Caenorhabditis elegans: one gene and its partners. The protein of the gene in region 3 interacts with the protein of the main gene of each other region in a pairwise test. Each region holds a gene or a part of one and is shown on either strand. Other genes may lie near its edges.

Region 1 (4,804 bases), on a different chromosome or scaffold from region 3:
TTTTTATCTTTGAAAAAACATATTTTGGTATGACAAATGTTTTTAAATTCAGTTTTGTTGTCGTTTTTCTTTGATAGGACTTCCATGTCGGCGTCGAAACGCCTGCCTGGCTTAATTAAGGCGACCTCTGCCTTCCTCATTTATTTTTTAAATTTGATTTTCATCGAATTGAAATTCGAAGATAAGAAATTTGAAAATTCACGCCAGAATACAGAAAATAGGCGAGTGGCTGGTAGGTTTCAAGCAGGCGCCAGGTCTTGAAAACCGCAACAGAAAAACTGTAAACCCCTACCGTAAACGTTAGATCCGATAATTCCGCTCCATTTTCCAATAATATTTTACATGCATCTCGTTCAGCCCAATGTGCAGCCGCATGCAACGGAGTCCATCCTTCGACATCCTGTGCCCGTACATTTCCACCCGCTTTGATAAGTAATTCGAGTAATTGTGTGTATCCTCGCCCAGCAGCTACATGCATTGCAGTTCCACCTGTTCTGTGGTGAGGAATATCTCGATATTCTCCCTGACTCATCCACATATTCACATCTTTCAACATTGTCTGAAGTTCTTGATCTCTACAAGCATCGAGATCAATCATTTGTCGCTTGTAATCATCGTCAAGATAATCACGACATTGTTCATCTACTGCAAGATCAAGTGCTAACTCTTTATCACTATTAACTATTGAGAGATCGGCTCCATGTTGACACAAATATCTGACTATTGCCACATTTCCACAACATGCAGCTGCGTGAAGAGGTGTCCATCCTTCATTATCTTGTGCATTCACATCGGCTCCTTTTTCACAAAGAAATCGAACCATTTCGGGTTTTGAATCAATTACCGACTGAAAATATTCAATTTCGAATGTTTTGTTTATGCAATATTTCAATTTTTCAATGTTCTATCCATATGCAAAACGTTGCGATTTGTTTCAAAAGTACGGTCTCGAAGCACCAAATTTAAAATATTGTGCGCCTTAAAGGAGTACTGTAGCTGTTTTTAAAGAACTTTTTTTTTACGAAAAATGTGTTTTTTAAGGATTCAAAAAGAATTTTTTTAAAATTTATTTTTGAACTTTTATTTCCAGAAAAAGTTAAGGTTGTTTTCTAAAATAAATTCCAAATTAAATTCGTTTTGTTTTTATCAATTTCATTTTTTTTTGTAATTTCGTTGCTCCAGCCCTGCTCTCTGTTGTTGCAGGATTTTCCTCGATGTTTCATACGTTTTCAAACGTTTGTTTAACTTTTATTGAAAAACATGTGCAATTTTGAAGAAACTGTAGAAAAACTACAGTACTCCTTTAGGTTCACCTCGAGACCGGGTATCGTATTTTTTTAAACAAAATTCACGAAACTTCACATATGGACGATACAAGTACCAAATTGTCAATAATAAATGCAAATCTCACCTGATGCAATGCGGTCAACCCGTCAACTGTACAAGTATTAATATTGGCACCCTTGTTCAACAGTTCTTCAACTTCTTCTTCATCTCCAGACATACATGCCGACAGAAAAATATCACTGTCTTGAAATTGTACTTTTGGACGTTTCGTTCGCCGAGCTGCTTCTGCGTTCATCTCGCTGCTCTGCCAACGGCGCAATTGATCCTGAAAATTTAAAAATTACAAATAAATGGTTTTTTTTGTTTAAAAAATATTAAATTTATTGAATGTTTAAACTTCGAACCCTCGGCGTAAAAAAGAGTAAAAGTTGGCACACGCCGAGAGAGCTCACAAATTGTGTTTGCACCTGTTTGCACAATTGATTAACAAGTATAAACGACTGGATTTCGGTCGTGATTGTCGTTTTTTTTTTGTTCACTAAATACCTACTGGTTTGTAATTTTTTTTAGAAATTAATTTTTGAATGATCAAGAGAAAAAGTTTCAAAGCAAATGGAAAAAAATAAAACGAATAATCGTCCGATTAGAATGAGTCAAAACTTGACACTGATAAGAAAAAAGTTCAACCGGAAGCCTGTGGAAACTATCAAAAAAAGATCAAAAAACGTTCTCTTTTGGTGGTTTTTTTTCCGGAGAAGAGACGAAAGAGACGTCGTCGTCGTCGCCGTCGTCGTGTCCCTGTGCCCGCTGACTCACTTTTATTGTCAATGTGTTTGTATGGAAAATGGCAGGAAAAATGGAGAACGGGGGTGGAGGAGGAAACATGGAAAATGAAGGAAGAACGACGGTTCAGACAAAAAATCATAGAGAGCAAGGTGTTTTCAGAAACTTTCTCTAGAATAATTTTAAATTTCTCAAATTTTTAATTCGAAAAAAAAAACTACAAAAAAACTGAACAAGCTTCAAACTGGAAAATTAAGCAGATGAAATTTTTTAAAGATTTTCACGTCAAAAAACGGGTCCCCGGTCTCGAAACGATTCATTTATGTTTAATGCAAAAAGGCTTGCGCCTTTAAAGAGTACTGTAATTTCAACCTACTATTGTTGTGAAATTCCATGATTTTTTTAACGTTTTTCGTTTTTGAAAATATATTAATTTACTGAACAAAAAAAGACAACTATGAAAACTATGGAAAAAAAAATGAAAATTCCTTTTTGAAAGTTACAGTAACCTTTAAAGGTGCATAACTTTTCGCATTTAACAGAAATCTTTCGTGTCGAGACCGGGTACCGTACTTTTGGCGCAAAAACCGAAGAAAGTCGGCCAAAAATTTGATATTTAAAGTTCGAAGATCACTTTTAACAAAAATGAAATTTCAAACTGATTTTTAATTTATAATGTTGAAATTTAAATATAAATTTAGACAATTTCTTCAATTTAAACGAAGAAAATTTTAGTTTTATTTTACTATTTTAATTTGTGATAAACGAGGTTTTTACCAAATTTTTTTTCGCAAAAATTACAGATTTATTTTTTTGTTGAATTTTGTTTTCAAACTTTTGAAAAAAGCTCACCTTTCTCTTATTCACAACATTAAAAGTGATTTGCTGCTTTGCTTGCAGCATATGCGCATCGTCCTCGTCATCTTGACCCATTCTGCAAAATATGAAATTTTTTTAGTAAAAAATGTTGTTGTTTGAGATAGGTTCAATCAGAAAAGCAAAGAACGATGAGAAAAGTGATACAAATGACGTTCGTTTCATTGATACAATAATGGGTAGAAATTCCAAAAAATATATAAAGTATTTTGTAAAAATATTATGGTTTTGGAAACGAGAAAAAATAGATCAAACGATGAAGCTTGGGAAAAATGACTCGTATTCACACACAGACACCCACAAGAAATGACCAGTTTAGCGTGTGACTGAAACCGGAGACTTATTCCGCGTATTCGACCACCTCCAAGTCAATTACTCTTCATATCCCACCACCACTACTTTAACGTTCACTCATTTCCCGGTTCATCCTTCTTTTGAAATATGAGACCACAACTATTCGATTAATCTTTTGACTAAAGTTTCATAGCTTTTGCGTATAAATCTTGGAATGTGAATACCCGAATTTTCGAAATCTGCCGGTTTTTCGGTTTTCCGAAATACCAAAAAATCAAAAAATTTACGGGTTTTTCTAAAAAAAAAAATCTAAAAAATGCAACGTTCTTGTTAAATAAAAAACCAAAAATCGAAAAATCGAATACCGTATATAATTATAAAACACTTATAAATGGTTCTAAATTTTTTTTAATTTTGCAACAAAAATGTGCAATTTGAATTTTTTGGCAAAACTGAAAAAAAAAATTTCAAACTTCAAATTTATAAATAATTTAAAACCATTTTTAAATATATATATTCGTTCATTAGGACCAATTTTCAATAATTTTAAGCAAACTATCCATGGACTCCGCCATTAAAAATATATCCTTAAGGATATATAAATATAATACTAATCAATACAACTCCCACTCATCCATTGAAAAGTGCGGCAAGTGGGTGAAAATAGTGAGGCAGTGAAGATCAGAAAAGGCTTAGAGAATTAGATAAAGTGATGTGATAAAGGTGGTTTTGGATTGTGGATACACCGGAGAACAAATATTATGAAATTGGGCACTATTTCCGGTGCAATTTGTTTTCTAAAAATATTGGTGTAAAATATCTATGTTCAAAAATTTTATAAAATGAAATATTTAGAGTTTCCAAAGTTTCTAAAAAAAGTTTGCGGTGAGTCATTGAAGACTAACTAAACAAATTTGGAAAAATAATTGAAAAAGGCAAGGCATTTCTGTAAAAAACGCTTAAAATTTTTGAAAATTGCCAATCAATGTTTATATTTCAAAAGAAATGTTATATTTTTGGAAAGAAACATTTCTTTTTTTTTTGCAATCAATGTTAATATAAAACATTGGCTATGGCATTTAAATTAAAAATTCATTGTTTAAAAAATCTAGGTTCAATGTTCAGAAAATGAGAAATTAAAAAACAATTTTCGAGTAACGGACACATTGAACTAATTCCAGAGAAAAAATGGAACAGTGCCCCCGGGATTAGGGGCGACAAGTCGATGGATAGGTCGTTCTCTCTCTCTCTATTTTCAACGATATAGACAGAAAGAGAGAATTAGTGATTCGAGACGCAGATACACCATCATCCAAGAGAAAGAGACCGGGAGGGACGTACTTGAAACTTTCCGCCTGCACGCGGCGTGTCTGCGTCTATTAAACACCGCTCAATATATTTCGACTCTCTCGCTCTGTTCTCTTTTCCCGCATCATTATACACACAGCGGCAGTTGGCTGGTTGCCCTCTCTTCCCATCATCCTTCTCCCGATCCTCCTCTCACCGTTCTCTTATTCATCATCATCCTTAACCTGTTGTGCTGCTTGGTGGTCGTGGTGATGGT
Region 2 (3,060 bases), 1.1 Mb from region 3:
ATTTTAATTCTTACGTCATGATAAAATTGTTTCGATGTCCTGGTTCAGCTTGCTTCACAATATACATATCGCCACTATCAGTGATTGTCATGGAATTTACTAAAAAAAAATATATTTTAAAAAATGTTTTATACCAGAAAAACTTACATAATCCTTCGATAAACGACTCATGAACAACATCTCCATCAAGTGAAATTACTCTTAAAATTGTCGTTCGATCAGAGAATTCAGCTGATGTGTAGATTATCTGTAAATTTGAATAATTAATAACTTAAGTGAAAATAATTTATTGTACCCTGTCTTTGTACGAAATTACTTGTGGAAATGGGGCCATTTTCTTGAAGAATTTCTTGTCTTCGTGCAGAGTTCGGAGAGTTTTTCCGTTGAATTTATATAAACCGCCTTTTGAAGCTACCTGAAAAATGAATAATTTTTAATTGTTGTTGTTTAATTATAATATACCCATATATTGTTGTCTTGGTCGTAAACAACGTTATAAGGAACTCTTGCCCCTCTTGGCTCCAAATGAAGAAGCATTTCATCAAATCGTTGATAATCACTGGTGTCTGACGGTTCTTGGGTCATTTTTATGCTGAAAATTGAAAATTTATTAGATAATTTATCATTATATTTAGCAAAAGAAATGAGAGTCAACGATTAACTAAAAATTTAAGAGTTTTGCGCAAGAGAAGTGTCTAAAAATCAATAAAAAATTTCACCATACCCAGCTCGCTGCGAGACCTCAATCAATAATTTGAATGCACTCCTTTAAAACCACAGTAATCGGCGAAGTGAATTTGAATATTATTAGATTGAACAACATTTTCAAAGTGAATTCACATTTAAAATAAAGTGAAAATAAAGAAGATTTTGGAGTTAAACATGGTTTAAAAGTGGGAAAAATGTTTTAATTTGAACAAAAATGGTTTTTGAAAATAAATCGATTTCTCAAACATATATTGTGGAAATTGGAAAATCTACAGTACCTAGCATTAAAAAACTTCTTTTCCGCTACTGATTTTAGATTTTTAGATATTCTTTTTTCTTGACTATATTGTTTTACATTGAAATAATTCATTATTAATTATTATAATATCTTTAAAAATATGCCTGCAAATAGAAACATGCAAGACTGCAAGATTTGGAAACGTTAAATAAAAAATTGAGGGAAAAAGATTATTCAATACAAGTAAAACCAACTTTCCATGGCCGCAAAAAGCGATGTTTGGTCTTATTTTTTCAATTTCTCTTCCACGGCCACCAATTCAATTATTCTCTTATCGGCAACACTTGTACAAGGTCGCCATCTCAATGACAATCCGAACGGAATTGAGTAAAAATGTATGCAAATTCGGCCATGAGAGTAGGAAGATGAGATAGTGTAAGAAAAATGGAGACCAGAGGGGGTTGAAGACAATGAGTCACACCTCATGTTGTATGTGTGCGTTTCATCTTTGTCCGTGTTCCGACACATTTAAACATTAGTTTTTGAACAAAAAACCTCATTTTCTTTTCAATTTCACTTTTAAATACTTTCCAATTTTCAGATCAAAAAAAAATAATACAATGACAGCATATGGTCATATGCCAGGAGAAGCAATTGAATGTTTGTCAATTGCTGTTGAATTGCACAAACAAGAAGTTATTGATGCTCATGGACAAGTCACAATTCGAGTTGGATTTAAAATTGGTGGAGGAATTGATCAAGATCCAACAAAAGCGCCATTCAAATATCCGGATTCTGGAGTTTATATCACAAACGTCGAATCAGGATCGCCGGCGGATGTGGCTGGATTGAGAAAGCATGATAAGATTCTGCAGGTAATTATGAAATTTTTAAGTTTTCTTTTCCCAGAGACAAATGATCAAACTTTCTTGCCAACATATACATTGTTAATTAAGAGTACTGTAAACTTACTGCCGAATTTTCATCGATCTTGCATAGTTTTTCTCATGAGTTTTTGGAAATTTTTGTGTTGTTATATTTCAAATAAATAAATATACTTTCATCAAAAAACCATGCAAAATCGATGAAAATTCAGCAGAAATGAGAATTTGAAATTACAGTACTCTTCTTAGGCAATATTTTCTCATTCAACATAAATTTGCGTGAATTAAACTGAAGTGAATTAAACATTTGGCCAATTAAAAAATTTTTGGTAGACAAACTCAAGAACGTTCGAACATTAGCTTAACATAAGTTTCCAAAAAATTGAAAACTCCTCAAAATTTTTCTAGATGATATTGAGAACATCCTCTAACAAACGGACACCCCAACTAAATAATATTCTCTATTTTCAGGTCAATGGAGCAGATTTCACAATGATGACTCATGATCGAGCTGTGAAGTTTATCAAACAATCAAAAGTACTTCATATGCTTGTTGCAAGAGCCGATCTTCCTCCTGTCAGTCTTCATTAACTCAATCTCATTTGTTCCGTTCACATTCAAACTTGCCCTTTTCAATTATCTCTCAAACTCAATTCTGCGCATATATTTTGATATTTATCGGGTTCAAAAATAAAAAATTTTACTTTTTTGACGACACAATGCATCATTTGACAAGAAAAATTGGTCATTCGTGTTTGGAAAAATGAACTGAAAATTTCATAATTGCCTGTAAATTTTTATCATACAAAAATGAATTATTTCAATGTAAAAAATAAAGTAAAACAAAAGAAATTATAAATCTGAAATCTGTCGCAATAAATTTGTTAAATTAAAACATTTTTTCCACTTTTAAACTAGTTGGGATATTAAAATCTTTGTTGCTTTCACTTTATTTGAATTGTGTATACACTCTGAAAATGTTTTTAAATCTAAATAATGAATTTCAAATTTACTACAAGGATTACTGTAGTTTAAAAGGAACACACGTGATTTCACTTGATGGATTCTTGGAACAAATTCAATTGTGTAAACACAGAAAAAGTGATGTACTAACAAAATGTAGTATTATATGCAAATGAAACTTGTAGTACATACTAAAGTCTTCTCGAATCATCTCGAAAATAATAAAATAGTATTTTTTAAAACTTTTAAAAACTAGAAACATTCAAT
Region 3 (7,197 bases):
AAAAAAATTTCGGATCTAAACAAGTTTTTGGCATTTATACTCCCTTTAAACCGTGCGCATAATCATTTTTCTGTTTCTTTCTTTAAAATTTCCTTATTCATCTTTGTTTCCCTGCCAAAGCTGATTCCGTTCTCGTTCTTTTTTTTTAATTACTTGTCAATATGCTTCAAAGTACGTCGGTTTAAATAAACTTCAGGTTGTAAAACTCACATTTCCATTCCCAGCATCATCAAGCAAAAATGGAATGTTATATTTGGTTCCAACTACCAATGGGAACTTTTCCACTGTAGTTCCAGATGAGATGAATCTGAAAGAAGTAATGCATCACATTTGACACTCAAAATTCTTCAGTACTCCCGAACTTACCGATATTCTCCGTCAGTTTCTGACAGAACCTTGTAGTTTGGCTCTCCTGTTTTCAGGGTTCCATACACGAAAACCTTGAATTTTTCGCCCATTTTTGCTGGAAATGAATTAATAAATTACAGATTTTTTCATTATTTTAAGTTAATAAAAAAACATTTAAAAAAAATCTGTATTCATCAATCATTCGATATGTATATTTACACAATATGCCTTTCGGAAAAAAGAAGAAAAATACGCGTTTTTGTCTTGCCACGAAAGATTATTGATTGAAAAATGGCAAAAGGGTGTGGAAAAATCAATAAACTGAATGAGCACAAAATGGGGTTATCTCTTATCGGGATGGGGAAAAACTGAAGAAAAAAAAGGAAAATCGGTTCATAAATGGCCATAAAGTTTCTTATCACATTCCATCAAAAGCTTGTGCTCGTTGTCGTGGAGTTCCTCGCATACTCTGAAATTATAAGAAAATTATAATTGGAAAATGAGAAGAATAATCAATCAATACCACACTAATGTTCATTTCAAAATTTGAAAAATCACAACAAAATACACCGACGGACAGGTTTGTGAAATTCAAAGATATAGTTTCACTAAAAAATGTGTGATTTTTTGAATCAATTAATAAAATTAATAAAGTCTTAGCGCGAGCGAAACTTTTCAGATACCGTACCCTGGGTTTTGCTTTTTCTTGTTTCTTTCTATTTTTAAAAATTTTTCGAGTTTTTGTTGTGAAAATCTTATTTTCCCTGAATAGGTTTACTACAAAAACATAAAAACTCAAGAAAAAGAATTTCCAAATAAACGATGGAACGTCTACTATTGGATACTGTAGCGGAAAAAATAATCTCGTGTCAGTACCCGACGTAACGATTGCGCTCTAAGAAATATTTTTCGCGCTGCGTTCATTGTTGCGATTCCTGATTTTTAAATTTTAAGTCAAAAAAAAACAATTACAGTGTGCATATTATTGAATTTATTCATAGAGCGCTTGAACCATGAATGTTTATTTTCAACTCTAACAAAAATACCAATCAACAAGTGTTAGAAAACAATAATTGGAAAATTAGTCAATATGCAAACACGCTCTACCACACAACAATCAAACTCTGGCACTATTTTCTCACTATATTCAAATGTCAGCTTCCTGCCATTCAGTGTTTCCCAAATCATAAGACTGCTGTCTATGCAGCATCATGACGTGGCTCAGAATACTTGACGAGCTCGTAGTGGATACTGTAGAGACACGTGGAATCCCTCGTCCCGCCACATGTCTAGCGACAGTATTGAGCTCCAAGGAATCGGAGGAACCCGATGAGCCAATTGAGCTTGCGCTTTTTGATTTTTTCTGGAGATATTCCGAAGTTAAGCGTCAAACTTACAAATGCCAAACGCGCGAAATTTTAATAAATTAGAAGCTTAACATATAATAGAATAGGATGAAAAAGAGATTTAATAACTTTTTGAACTTTTGACCTTCTGATCATGAGATCAGCTTAGTAACCGTTCAGAACGGTAGCATGCTAACAGAACTTGCTAAATTATCTACTTACCATTCTCATCGTCGTGAACTTATCAAAACCGTGTGCCACATTTTGTGCATGAACCGCATCATGCTCTCGATGCTGCCCATTTTGTACATTACCGTCTCGTTTCAGGCCGTCAATATCGCCACGTAATTCTTCCAGGTGCTCCTTGAAGATTCGCGCTCGTGTTTCGTATTCTGACCTGAAAAAATTTCTAATGTCACATACTATTCTCTATTAGGATTGTACCTCCATTGCTCAACTCTGCTAGCATATAATTCAGTTATCCTTTTTTTTTAATTACCAAACTAACCTTGATTTTTCCAACTCCATCAGAGTAGTCTGTTGCTCGAAAATCTGACTAATTGAAGGATCGGGTGGTGGAATAATCATACCAGATCCTCCGTAATATGGCGGTTGATTCTGATTTTGAACTTGAGTTTGTTGTTGATGAGCTTGAGTATTTTGAGACATTTGTTGTGGTTGTTGATGAGAAAGTGGTTGATTTGAAGGAATTGGGGAGGAAAATGCAGATGATGGCATATTCAGACTTCGAGACATCATTTGTTGAGGATGAGTGTGTGCTGAAAATGTTGTTTCCGTATAAATATAATCATATTTTTCTTATTTCTTATTTCTAACAAGACGTGGATTGGTCAAAAACAGTAGCAACTTGGCTTGCGATTTCATTCCCAAATTGGCATTACAAACAATAAATTAGTTTACAACTAGACACATTCTCATTTGAAGATCTTGAATTTATAATATCATTACCAAAATATTTTTTAGTGTTCTCTTTTTTGAGGCAACTTTGCAAATACCTGGCTGTGAGAAAATGTTGAAGTTACATAATCAAAAAAAAATTCGATAAACTGATTAGGGGGTCGGTTTTTATTATGTGATCTAGACTTTTTTGACTCGGCAAACTTTTATTCTTAACTTTTAAACATAGTTTTACGCCCATTGCCAAAATTATCATGCAAAAGTTGCTATAGATATTATACTTCTATACTATTTTGGAATAGACTTTTTTATTGTGCCTTTAAAAAAACTAACTGTCAAGTGATTGCAGTTGATGAAATGATCCTGTTGATGGCATACCAGGATGACCTGATTGATGACCAGATACTTGTTGATGCCAATTCTGAAAGTTTCTAAACCGTATTAATCGAGTATATCCTCTATCAATCCCATTACGGTTTTGTCAAGATTTACTCAAAATGGGAAGATTTTCCATTAACTTACCGGATCAATAATCAACGCAGACTGACTCGAATACTGTGTCATTTTCCGATTCGCGTCAAGGCTTACATCTGCTAGTGACATTGACATCTGCTTTGCCAAAATCTCAGCTTCCCGAGCTTTTCGTTCCATTCTCAACAGAGCTTCTTCGGACTGAAAATTAAACTTTAATTTCATAATTAATTTGATTTTTTACCTTCATATTATTCATACTTAATCGATTACATTCAGCTTCAACTTCACTTTTTTGCTTGTACAACATCAAAGTTTCATGTTCACTGTGTCGTGCCTTCTCTGCTAATTGATCATTCGCTTCTTCTGCCTTTCGTATATTTTCTTGAGCTTTCATTAATTCCAAAGTCATCACTTCAACTTTTTGTTTCATTTCCTTATATTCTTTTTCCATTTGCTGCCTCTCTTTTCGTTCCAATGCAACTTTTGCTTGTTCTGCTGCTCGACGTTGCTTGTCTTCTTTTGCTTGTGATCTCATTTGTTGAACCTGAAATATACAGTTATCATTTCGTAGAAAACTGAATAGAAATTTTCAAGTTGCCCTACTATAAAAGACACATACCTCTAACGTGTCTGGCTGCCTCCTCCTTAAATACAAATTGTGTGTTCCAATGCAAAGATCCAATATTGAAGAATCAATTGATGTCTCTCGTGATCGAAATGATATTGTGGATTTGTCGACGGTTTTCATGTGAAACTGAACGTACAATGGAAATCGTGAAAAGAAAATTTTAAAAAAATTACCTTTCGATTCTTAAATTGAATATTCTTAATCTCACTCCAACTAAAAAACGGCCGAGGTGTTATTCGATTCACTCCCTTATAGATTCCCAACCCTTGAGCGGATATACCAAGATGTAAGTCAGTTTCTTTGTTATTCTGAAAATAAATAAAATTATGTATCTCAAATTCAAATGTCCACAACCGTTCAAACAGAATCTCTCAAATAACTTACACAAATAGGATAATATAATATTCCATACATCTCCAAATCCTGTGCAACTCTCAAATACTCAAGTTCAGCTTCTTCTCTTGATTGTCCTGCATTCCGTGACCACCATCGTTTTATTCGATCTCTCCACATATCAGCACTCATATCATATTGATCAATCACACTTTTTGGTAAATGCTTGTCAAGATCAATTGGACCAACTTCTTCTGTACAGTCGCCATGCTGAAAATTAATTCGTTTTTACTAGATTTTGAATAAAGTGTATATAGATAGTTTTTCAGAAACATTTTCAGGCACTTGAAAATGTTTTGCCAATTTTTCTGGAAGAAAATGGGATTTTCAAATACTCTTCAAATATCCTTTCTGAAAATTTTAGATTTTCAAAATTTTACAGCAAAAGTTTTGGTAAATTTCGATATTGTAATTCTCAATTTTTCAGAAATATATTAAAAATTTTATGAGTGATTTTAAACACTTTCTCAACTGACGATCTTTTAAAAGTTCAATAAAGGAATTTAAATGGCATTTTCATATTTTGTAAAACCCAGTTAAAATACAAAAATCTTACCATTGCTTGAACTGCAAAACTGGCCAATAAAACACTTGCTTCAGGTGAACAATATAGATTCATTGAAAGTATTGCTTCTCGTATTTGTAAAAAGAACAAATGTCTAGTGGCATCTAGAATAATCTCAGGTTCCACGTCTTCTGGATAGAATTTGACAAGAAATAAGAAATTAAAAGTTCCATCAGATGTGTCTTTTTGGATGTCTTGGCCACAGATCTGGAAAATTTCAAAAATTAATTATTTTCAGAGAAATTATTTTTCCCAAAATATTTTAATTTGATAATTAGAATTTGGTTTTATTGTTGGAAATACCGTATCCCCAAAAATGTATTCAACAAAAACTCACAGTTTTATCATTCTGTAACCAACATGGAATATTCTTTTTATTTGTGAACTGTAGTCCAAAATACCAAGTTTCCCGTAATCCAATAATTCGACAAACTGCTTCAAATAAATGTCTTCCTGTCCATGTTTTCTCAATTACAATCTTCTCCAAATCAGCATCCATTGTGCTCACTTTTGCGTAAATGGGCTTCGTGTTTCGCGAAAATATCGAAAATCCACCCATTGCTATTTTTTGGAATTTTTGTAGGTGAAATTAGCCTGGAAGTTTAAGAAAAAAATAATACTAGCAACTATTATTCATTTCTGAAAAAAGACCGTTGTCTGCACATGAACGTATTGCACGTATTTTCTTTCCGTCAAGTAAGAACAACATCCAAAAATTCAGATACTAAAATTGCTTTTTTAGTTTCTTTGAAAATAAAAATTTCAGATAGTTTCAGTTTGAGGCAATTAGAAAATAACGTGGATTCCAATATTTCCGTTTAAAACTTCGGAAAGTTAGAAAAGTTCTATAGTCTCCGAAGTACTGAATTGGTTTCTCTAGGGTGAAAAATCAATAATGAGATGAAGCCCATCTTAAAAAAAGTATGTTAAATAGTTAAGAAAAGTGAAGAAAATCAATGTAAGTACGCCCCAGGGCAAATAGTGTTGTAACTGTATAGGTATCTGCGTCGAGGAACTCTATGCCAACTGTCTGTCTCACAAGAAGTGTTAGAACATATGAGAGGAAGGAGAGGCATTGGAACTAACAACAAGAGAAGATGATTGGAAGAGAGGACGAAACAATATTTCAACACTCATAATGATGATAGGTATGGAATCCCAGGTGCATTCATTGAAGAATAACTGATAAAAATATTGAAGAACAATGATTCAATGCCCCCAACTGATATGACGCATTGTGAAAATATGTGGCCTGGTCTCGTGTGAACAAGAATTTTCAGTTTTTCGATAAATAAAATAATGTCAACACGCCCTTTCCTCCTCCATCGTTTTTCTCCAAATGGTTTCGATACAAAAGTTACATCGACTGACGAGATTCAAAAAGATTCGCAGTCAGCAGGATTCGAACCTACGCGGACAGAGCCCATTTGATTTCGAGTCAAACTCCTTAACCACTCGGACATTCTTAACCACTCGGACATGACTGCACGTTTTGGTTTATTATCAAGTATATTTTCATTTTGTACAATTTCGAAGTTACAACGAAAAAAATGTGCGAAAAAATTGAAAAAAATTTAACGCAGTCAGCAGGATTCGAACCTACGCGGGCAGAGCCCAATTGATTTCTAGTCAATCTCCTTAACCACTCGGACATGACTGCACGACGAACCACAACTTTCGTGGCCTAGACATGCCGGGTGTTACGCATAATAGGAGGAGGGGATGGGGAGAAGTGGTCAATGGGGGGAGATGAAAGGGGGAATAGGGACAGTATAGAAAAATTCACACAATCGGTATTTTTCGATTGACTTATTATTATATTTTCAAAAGAGACATCAGTGTGAAGTGGGGCGCACTTGTGTAAGCAAAATGGCCAACAAAAATTCGAAAACTTCAGTAACTTTTCGATTAACCTCCCTATTCCTTTGAAGTCATATAATTTTCGAATGAAGTTTAAGTACATTTTTTCCATATTGAAAATTCAAAAATTCCAGAAAGATGAAATCCAGAAAAATGTTTCGAAAGTACAGTGTACTGATAGTGAGCTACAGTACAATTTTCGTAAGTACGCTCGATGGAACCTACTTTCCCTTAAATTTACAGTAACGCATTAAAGTTCTGCAAAGTTTCATAACCAATCTGCCAAAAAACTTCCTCATAACATAATTTGTTGTTTCCCATCTTTCCACTTTGCTCTTCGTACTCTGTGCCTGCTCCCACTGTCTGGCTCCCAACACTTCCTGCCGGGAGCCTCGGGAAATCCCTTCTTCCCTCTCTCTCTCTCTATCCTTCTCTCCCAGAGCTCCGAAAAAATAGGCGGAGCCAGAGCACACACTTATGCTCTCGCTCTCTGTGCAAGAGCCACCTCACTCAATTTTTGTGCTACTTCGAGAGTGTCGATGCCTCATTTGTTAATTGTTTGTTATTTGATGATGATAATGAATTGTTGTATCGATATTTAATTGCACTCTGCGTGGGTGTTATCACTTAAATATTAGAGTTTTTCTGGAAAAAAGGAGTAAACT
Region 4 (7,359 bases), 5.4 Mb from region 3:
AGTTTTGTTCAAATTCCGCCATTTTTTTCGAAATTTAAAACTCAATACTTCAATTTTAGTACAATTTTACAAGGCTGCAACGCTAAATTTTTTTCAAAAATGCTAATTTAGCGCTGAAGCCCTATAAAATTGTATTAAAAGTGAAATATTGAGTTTTAAATTTCAAAAAAAAAAAAATGGCGGAATTTAACAAAACTAAAAAAAAACTTTAAAAAATTTTTGACCAAAATTTCAGAAAAATCTTTTTTTTTTTGGATTTTTTATTCAAATTTTTTCGGTAAAAATTTTGTGGAAAATTTCAGGGTTTTTTTGCCTTTTTTTAAAGGCAATTTTTCTCCAGAAAATCCTAAATTCAGAAAACCCATGAAAAAACTGCTTAAATTTGAAATTTTGGAGTTTTTGTTCAAAAAAAAAAAGATGCAAAAAGTCTTTTTTTAAAATTAATTTTTTCACTTTTTTTTTTGATTTTTAAGCAATAATGAGAAAAAGGTAGATAAAAAAGGCCAAAAAACCTTGAAAATTTCACAAAATTTTAACAGAAAGAAAAAGAAAAATTAGTCTTAATAGAGCTCCTAAAAATGCGGAGAATAAACAAAAAAAACTGGGACAAAAAAACAATTCAACAATAATAATAAAAAACTCGAAAGAACAATCAAAAATTGGGTAAAATTTGAGACCGAAGCAAACATTAAAACAGGATGATGGATTCAATTCCTTAATAAAGATGTTCGGTGTTGGAGGTGCGTGGAACCTTGATCTTCTCATAGTTCTTCATAATCATATCGTGAAGTGTGGAGAAGTGATTGCGCATCTCGAGAACCACCAATCTGAAACACACAGAAATTCAATAAATTTTCGGAAACTTTACAAATATAAAAAAAAAATTCCCTCCAAAATGAGAACTGCACACGACCAATTAGCGATTCGCTCCGCCCACTTTTAAACCAATCAGATGGAGTGGGCGGAGCTCGGAGTTGCTGATTGGTCGGGGAGATTTCATATTGGAGGGAATTCGAAAAATCGTGTTTTTATTGGTTTTTTTCAAATAATTTTTTTTGAGTTCTGGTTTTCTTTTATTTAAAGATTTTTTGGGTTTTAAATAGAATTATAATATTTTTAATTTTTTTTTTTTCGTTTTTAAAACTATTTTCGGTTTTTTATATTCAGAAAAATTGCAAAAAATAAATATTAAAAATCTAACTTTTAAAACGCGATTTTTCAATTTTGGCTAAATTCCCTCCAAAATGAGAACTCCCCGACCAATCAGCGACGTGGAACTCCGCCCACTCCATCTGATTGGTTAGATAAATGTGGGCGGAGCGAATCGCTGATTGGTCGGGAAGTTCTCATTTTGGAGGGAATTTAGCCAAAACTGAAAAATCGCGTTTCTAAAAGTTAGATTTTTAATTTTAGCAAAAACAACGAAAAAAGTAGCGAAAAATGTGTCTTCGCTTTTTTTTTTTTTGGTTTTCTTTTGTGAAATTTCTAAAATTGAAATTTTTTCTTTCAAAAAAATGTTTTCGCTAATTTTCGCTCCAACCTAATGTTTATGAAATGGTTTTTATTTTATTTTGAAAAAATTTAAAAAAAACAACAATTTTTAAAGGTTTTTTTGGGATTTTTTAGACAAAAAAAAAAGGCAACCTTTTAACAAAAATTAGCATAAATAATTAGTAAATTAGCCTTTTAGCAAAAAGGCAAGAAACCTTGAAAAAATGTGTTTTCTTCTTTCTTTTTGTGAAATTTTTAAAAATTCGATATTTTATGCTAATTTTCGCTCCAGCCTAATATTTATGAGATGATTTGTATTTTTAAAATTAAAAAAAAACAATTTTTTTTAAGGTTTTTTTTTTTGGATTTTTTAGACCAAAAAACGGCAAAAAAAGTGTTTTACTTTTCAAAAAAATCCGTTTTTCGACTTTTTCTTTGAAAATTTTTAAAGTGAGATTTTTTCTTCAAAAATTCAATTTTTCGCTATTTCGCTCCAACCTAATATTATTGAACTGTTTTGAACATTTTTTGCAATTTTTCGGGTTTTTTTTTGGATTTTTAGGCTAAAAAGGTTTTAAAAATAGCTCAAAAAAGGAAAAACCTTTGAAAAAATCCGCTTTTTTTCTTTTTGTTGCAATTTTTAAAATTTTTATAGATTTTTTAGACCAAAAAAAGGAAAAAAACCTAGAAAAAATCGGTTTTTTTTTGAAAATTCCGAAATTTAAACTTTTTTTCATTAAAAAATTCAATTTTTCGCTAATTTCTGCTGCTCCAACCTAATATTAATGAACTGTTTCTCGTCCATATCAAGAATAGCACGTCTATAATCATCCACATGTGGATATTTAGCAATCTTCGTGATAAGCTTTCCACGAGTCGTAAAATATCGGCTCATTTGATCCAAAAACGAGGCGGCCTCGCTTTCGACATTCCGAACTTCGGACAGTGTCTCCTCTTGGATTCCGACGCCGAAATTATTGCCGTCTTCGATGCGTGGAATGAGCAAAGTGATCCACATTTTCACGTTGTTACACTGCTCGACAGCGTCACGAAGCTTCGGGCGAACCAGATCCATGAGTTGGGCGAGATTCTCGTTGCATGGGACAGTGCCGCTGCTGAACGCGAAGATCGGGGCTCCTTTGGGCTTCTCGTCGACTCGCTGACGCTTTACCGCTGGCTCATCGCTGTCCGTGGTGCCGTTCTGCAAAAATTTGGTTTTTTTTTCGCGTTGAAAAAAAAATTACAGAGAAAATTTCTTTAAATTTTGATATTTTCACTGCAACTTTTTCCTCACGAGGGACGAGGAAAAGTGGTTTCTAGGCCATGGCCGAGGGGCCGACAAGTTTCAGCGGCCATTTATCTTGCTTTGTTTTCCGCCTGTTTTCTTTCGTTTTTCACAGCTTTTTCACGTTTTTTCTTATTAAAACTGATAAATAAATACTTTTTGCAGATGCTAAAACAATTTCCAAGTAAAAAAATTATGTATTCAGTGGGCAAGCAGCGGTGAAAGTGGGCATTGTAATATGATGGATTACGGGAATACAAAACCTAAACTTTTTCTGAAACATGATACATATGCTGCTTAAATGCTGAAACTACCCGATTTTCATAACGAGACCGCTGAAAAAGTTTTGAGGTTTTCAAAATTCAAATTTTTGTGCGAAAATCTCGACTTTTTCACCAAAAAAGTTGAATTTGGAAACCTCAAAACTTTTTCAGCGGTCTCGTTATGAAAATCAGGTAATTTCAGCATCTAAGCATCATATGTATCATGTTTCAGAAAAAGTTTAGGTTTTGTATTCCCGTAATCCATCATATTGCATTGACCACTTTCACCGCTGCTTGCCCACTGAATACATAATTTTTTTACTTGGAAATTGTTTTAGCATTTGCAAAAAGTATTTATTTATCAGTTTTAATAAGAAAAAACGGGAAAAATCGATGAAAAACGAAAGAAAACAGGCGGAAAACAAAGCAAGATAAATGGCCGCTGAAACTTGTCGGCCCCTCGGCCATGGCCTAGAAACCACTTTTCCTCGTCCCTCGTGAGGAAAAAGTTGCAGTGATTTTAATGGAAATTGGTGAATTTTTCCATTTTTGAGATTTTTTTAAACTTTTTTTTTCGCAAAAAACCGATTTCTGTGAAATTTTCATGTTTTTTAAAGGTTTTTTAACGCTTTTTTTGCTGAATTAAACTGAAACTGGCTCGAAAAATGTCAAAAAAAAAAACTATTTTTTTGGTTCTTTTCTCTGAAATTACCGAAATTTTATTTAAATGTTCATACTTTCCTGTAAATTGGTAAATTTTTGCTTTTTTGAGATATTTTTTTTGCAAAAAAAAAAGACGATTTCTGTGAAATTTTCGAATTTTTCCGGCTTTTTTTGCTGAAATATACTGAAACTGGCTCCAAACGATTAAAAAAGGTGTTTCGTTTTTCTTTCTGAAATTACCGAAATTTTATTATTTTTTCCTGTAAATTGGCAAATTTTTTATTTTTTAACATTTTTTTGCAAGTTTTTTAGGCTTTTTAACGCTTTTTTTTGCTGAAATAAACTGAAACTGGCTCCAAAAATTGTAAAAATACTATTTTTTAAAAATGTTTTCCCCTTTTTTTGGAAATTGGCAAATTTTTGCTTTTTTTGATAGGATTTTTGGAATAAAAAGGCGATTTCTGTGAAATTTTCGAATTTTTACGGCTTTTTTTGCTGAAATATACTGAAACTGGCTCCAAACATTTTAAAAAGACTATTTTTTGGTTTTTAATTTTGAAATAACCGGAATTTTCTTTAAATTTTGATTTTTTCCTGTAAATTGGCAAATTTTTTATTTTTTTACATTATTTTTTGCAAGTTTTTACGCTTTTTTTGCTGAAATGGACTGAAACTGGCTCCAAAAATTAAAAATAAAACTTTTTTTTTGGTTTTTTTCTCTGAAATTACCGGAATTTTCATTAAATTTTGATTTGTTCCAGTAAATTGGTAAATCTTTGCTTTTTTTTTTGAGATTTTTTTCGCAAAAAAGGCGATTTCTCTGAAAGTTTAAAGTTTTTTTTTAATATGTTTTTTTGCTGAAATAGACTAAAACTTGCGCCAAACGCCCAGAATTTCAGATAAAAAGAGCCAAATATCGCTAAAATCCGAAATTTTCACAAAATTTTCTTGTCGAAGCAGCTGCAGCCATGGAATCCAGCTAAATTTCGCTAAAATCTCTCAGAAATTACCGAAATTGGTTGCCTATCGACGTAAAATATGCAATAAAGGGTTATAATTTAATGAAAACTAAAAATCTCAGAAAAAATTCGAAAAATGTGCAGAATTTTGCAAAAATTCGAAATTTCCGATTAAAAATTGGGTTTATTGAAATTTATTCAAGAAACCCTATTTTTTAATTAGAAATTTCAAATTTTAGCAAAATTCTGCACATTTTTCGAATTTTTTCTGAGATTTTTAGTTTTCATTAAATTATAACCCTTTATTGCATATTTTAGGCGGATATGAACCAAATTTTAGTCGTTTCTGTGAGATTCCAGCAAAATTCAGCTGTATTCCATGATACAACATAAAAATTTATTCGAAAATTCGATTTTCAGCAAAAATTGGTTTTTTTCCCGAAATCCGGATCGTTTTTGGCGAGTTTTAGTCTTTTTCAGCGAAAAAATAACTCGAAAAACTTGAAATTTTCACACGGAAATCGCCTTTTTGGCAAAAAAATTAGGGCCGTTAAAAAAAATGTTTAGAGCCAGTTTCAGTCAATTTCAGCAAAAAAAGCGTTAAAGAAGCCTAAAAAACTTGAAAATTTCACAGAAATCTGATTTTTTTTGTGCAAAAATCTTTAAAAAAAAGCAAAAATTTGCAAATTTACAGGAAAAAATCAAAATTTAAATAAAATTTCGGTATTTTCAACGCAAAAAAAGTATTTTTTTAATGTTTGGAGCCAGTTTCAGTCAATTTCAGCAAAAAAGCGTTAAAAAACTTGAAAATTTCACACGGAAATCGCTATTTTTTGAGAAAAAACTATTTTTTTTTTCGATATTTTTCCCCTCCGTACCAACGCATCCGGAATCGGAATATTCAACGATTTATCGGGAAGAATCTCGGCGAGACGATCGTACGAGAGCTTTGGGCTCTTGAGCAACGCGTCGAACTCGATAACTTTCTTCGGAAATTCCTCTTTGACGAGCCTCTCGGCTTCGGCAAAGAGCTTCTGCTTGTACTCGACGAGCTCCTTGTTCTCCGGCATACTTTGCTTCTTGACCATCGTGCTGGAAAATTTCCAGTGGAAATGTGGATTAAGCAGAAAATAAACGGAAAATTGTGGGGGAAAAATCGATAATTCGCTGGTTGGAAACCAAGAAATAGCTTTTTAAAAAATGAAAAAAAAACACACAATAAATTGGAAAAATGGCATTTTTTCTGGCAAATTGGTGAAAAAATCGAGATAAATTACTATTTACAACCGGAAAAGTGTGATAATTCACAGAAAACATTGAAAAAATACACGAAAAATCAAGTTTTCCGCTTCAAAATATTGATAATAGTCTCGTGGCACGGCCGCTGATCCATATCGTTGGCGCCGAGCACATATTTCCCATCGGAAGCTTTGAAATAGTCGAGCCCGCGGCCACTTTTCACCACCCAACCGTTGTCGAATCTGGAAAATAATTTAAAAAATGCATTAAAATCGTTTTTTAACTCAAATTAACGAAATTAGTTATCAAAAATTGGCTAAAAATGGCCAAGTGACTAAAAATTGGCCGAAATTGGGCAGAAAATGACTAAAAATTGGCCAAAAATGACTGAAATTAGTCAAAAATGATCGAAACTGGCTAAAAATGACCGAAATTGACCAAAAATAAGCCAAAAATGACCGAAATTGTGCAACAATAGCTAAAAATTGATTGAAAATTAACGAAATGGGCCAAAAATTACCAAAATTTGGCAGAAAATAACTAAAAATTGGCGAAAAATAACTAAAATTTGCTGAAAATTACCGAAATTGACCAGAAATAAGCCAAAACTGACTAAAAATTAGCCAAAACTGACTAAAAATTGGCCAAAAATGACTAAAAATTGGCCAAAAATGATTAAAAATTGACTGCAAATTACCGAAATTGGCCAAAAAAAAGCCGAAATGAGCGAAATTGGACAAAAATGATTAAAAATTGGCTAAAAATGACTACAAATTGACTGAAAATTACCGAAATTGACCAAAAAAAGCCAAAATCTACTAAAAAAAATGACAAAAAATAAGCCAAAAATGACCGAAATTGGCCAAAAATGATCAAAATTTCTGTCATTTTCATTCGTTTTGGCGAATTTTCGGACATTTCTGGCCATTTTCCAATATTTTGTGGCAATTTCGGTCATTTTGGCCATTCCTTTGGTTCTTTTTGACCATTGCTAGTCTATTTTTAGCGATTTCCGGTCAACTTCGGGAATTTGTGACTAATTTTATTAATTTTTTGGTTATTTTTGGCAAATTTCGGGCATTTCTGGCCGTTTTTAATCTTTTTTGGCCAAATTTCGGTCATTTTCCGGCTTTATATAGATATTTTGGACATTTTTGGCCACTTTTTTCGAAATATTTAGAGATAAACTACCAAAATATGCAATAAAGATTGGATAATCAAATAAAAGTGAACTTCGGACCGCTGCCACGCAGAAAAGTGGTCGAAACCGGAGATTTTAACGAAAATCCGGCCATTTATCGAATTTTTCAAGAGGTTTGAGCACATTTCGGGGGGATAAATTAATTCAAATCTGTACATAATTTCCCGATCATGAATTGTCGTGCTGAACTCGACGTTGAACATCACTCCGCGCTTCGCAAGGCTTCTGAAATCACAAAATTTTCTAATTTTCCCGGCG

Evidence for each region.
Region 1: the proteins of nfm-1 (region 3) and mel-11 interact in a two-hybrid assay, tested with the Caenorhabditis elegans proteins (one large-scale study listed by BioGRID).
Region 2: the proteins of nfm-1 (region 3) and txbp-3 interact in a two-hybrid assay, tested with the Caenorhabditis elegans proteins (one large-scale study listed by BioGRID).
Region 4: the proteins of nfm-1 (region 3) and psme-3 interact in a two-hybrid assay, tested with the Caenorhabditis elegans proteins (one large-scale study listed by BioGRID).

Annotation. Positions count from the first base shown.
Region 1 is NC_003280.10:9,356,733-9,361,536, reverse strand, and holds the start of mel-11 (cGMP-dependent protein kinase interacting domain-containing protein), read right to left. Parts: upstream 3,007-4,804; 5' UTR 3,004-3,006; coding exon 2,923-3,003; intron 1,613-2,922; coding exon 1,412-1,612; intron 848-1,411; coding exon 293-847; intron 1-292.
Region 2 is NC_003281.10:5,045,649-5,048,708, reverse strand, and holds txbp-3 (Tax1-binding protein 3 homolog), read left to right. Parts: upstream 1-1,547; 5' UTR 1,548-1,566; coding exon 1,567-1,821; intron 1,822-2,301; coding exon 2,302-2,421; 3' UTR 2,422-2,533; downstream 2,534-3,060. Other genes in the region: vtip-1 (Vha Twelve Interacting Protein), read right to left, coding at 15-99, 148-247, 296-415, 463-585; C45G9.14 (uncharacterized protein), read right to left, coding at 3,056-3,060. UniProt on the Caenorhabditis elegans protein: May regulate a number of protein-protein interactions by competing for PDZ domain binding sites.
Region 3 is NC_003281.10:6,157,913-6,165,109, reverse strand, and holds nfm-1 (FERM domain-containing protein), read right to left. Parts: upstream 5,622-7,197; 5' UTR 5,232-5,621; coding exon 5,010-5,231; intron 4,880-5,009; coding exon 4,664-4,879; intron 4,318-4,663; coding exon 4,099-4,317; intron 4,023-4,098; coding exon 3,888-4,022; intron 3,841-3,887; coding exon 3,706-3,840; intron 3,631-3,705; coding exon 3,328-3,630; intron 3,285-3,327; coding exon 3,135-3,284; intron 3,034-3,134; coding exon 2,946-3,033; intron 2,474-2,945; coding exon 2,203-2,473; intron 2,092-2,202; coding exon 1,917-2,091; coding exon of another isoform or gene 1,905-1,916; exon of another isoform or gene 1,712-1,904; coding exon 1,496-1,711; 3' UTR 1,491-1,495; exon of another isoform or gene 1,484-1,490; intron 818-1,483; coding exon of another isoform or gene 767-817; 3' UTR 525-766; downstream 1-524. Other genes in the region: F42A10.9 (Gamma-glutamylcyclotransferase family protein), read right to left, coding at 211-307, 367-458.
Region 4 is NC_003281.10:11,566,531-11,573,889, reverse strand, and holds psme-3 (Proteasome activator complex subunit 3), read right to left. Parts: upstream 5,754-7,359; 5' UTR 5,750-5,753; coding exon 5,540-5,749; intron 2,693-5,539; coding exon 2,268-2,692; intron 828-2,267; coding exon 716-827; 3' UTR 547-715; downstream 1-546. Other genes in the region: Y66D12A.10 (MITD1 C-terminal phospholipase D-like domain-containing protein), read right to left, coding at 5,998-6,142, 7,258-7,326.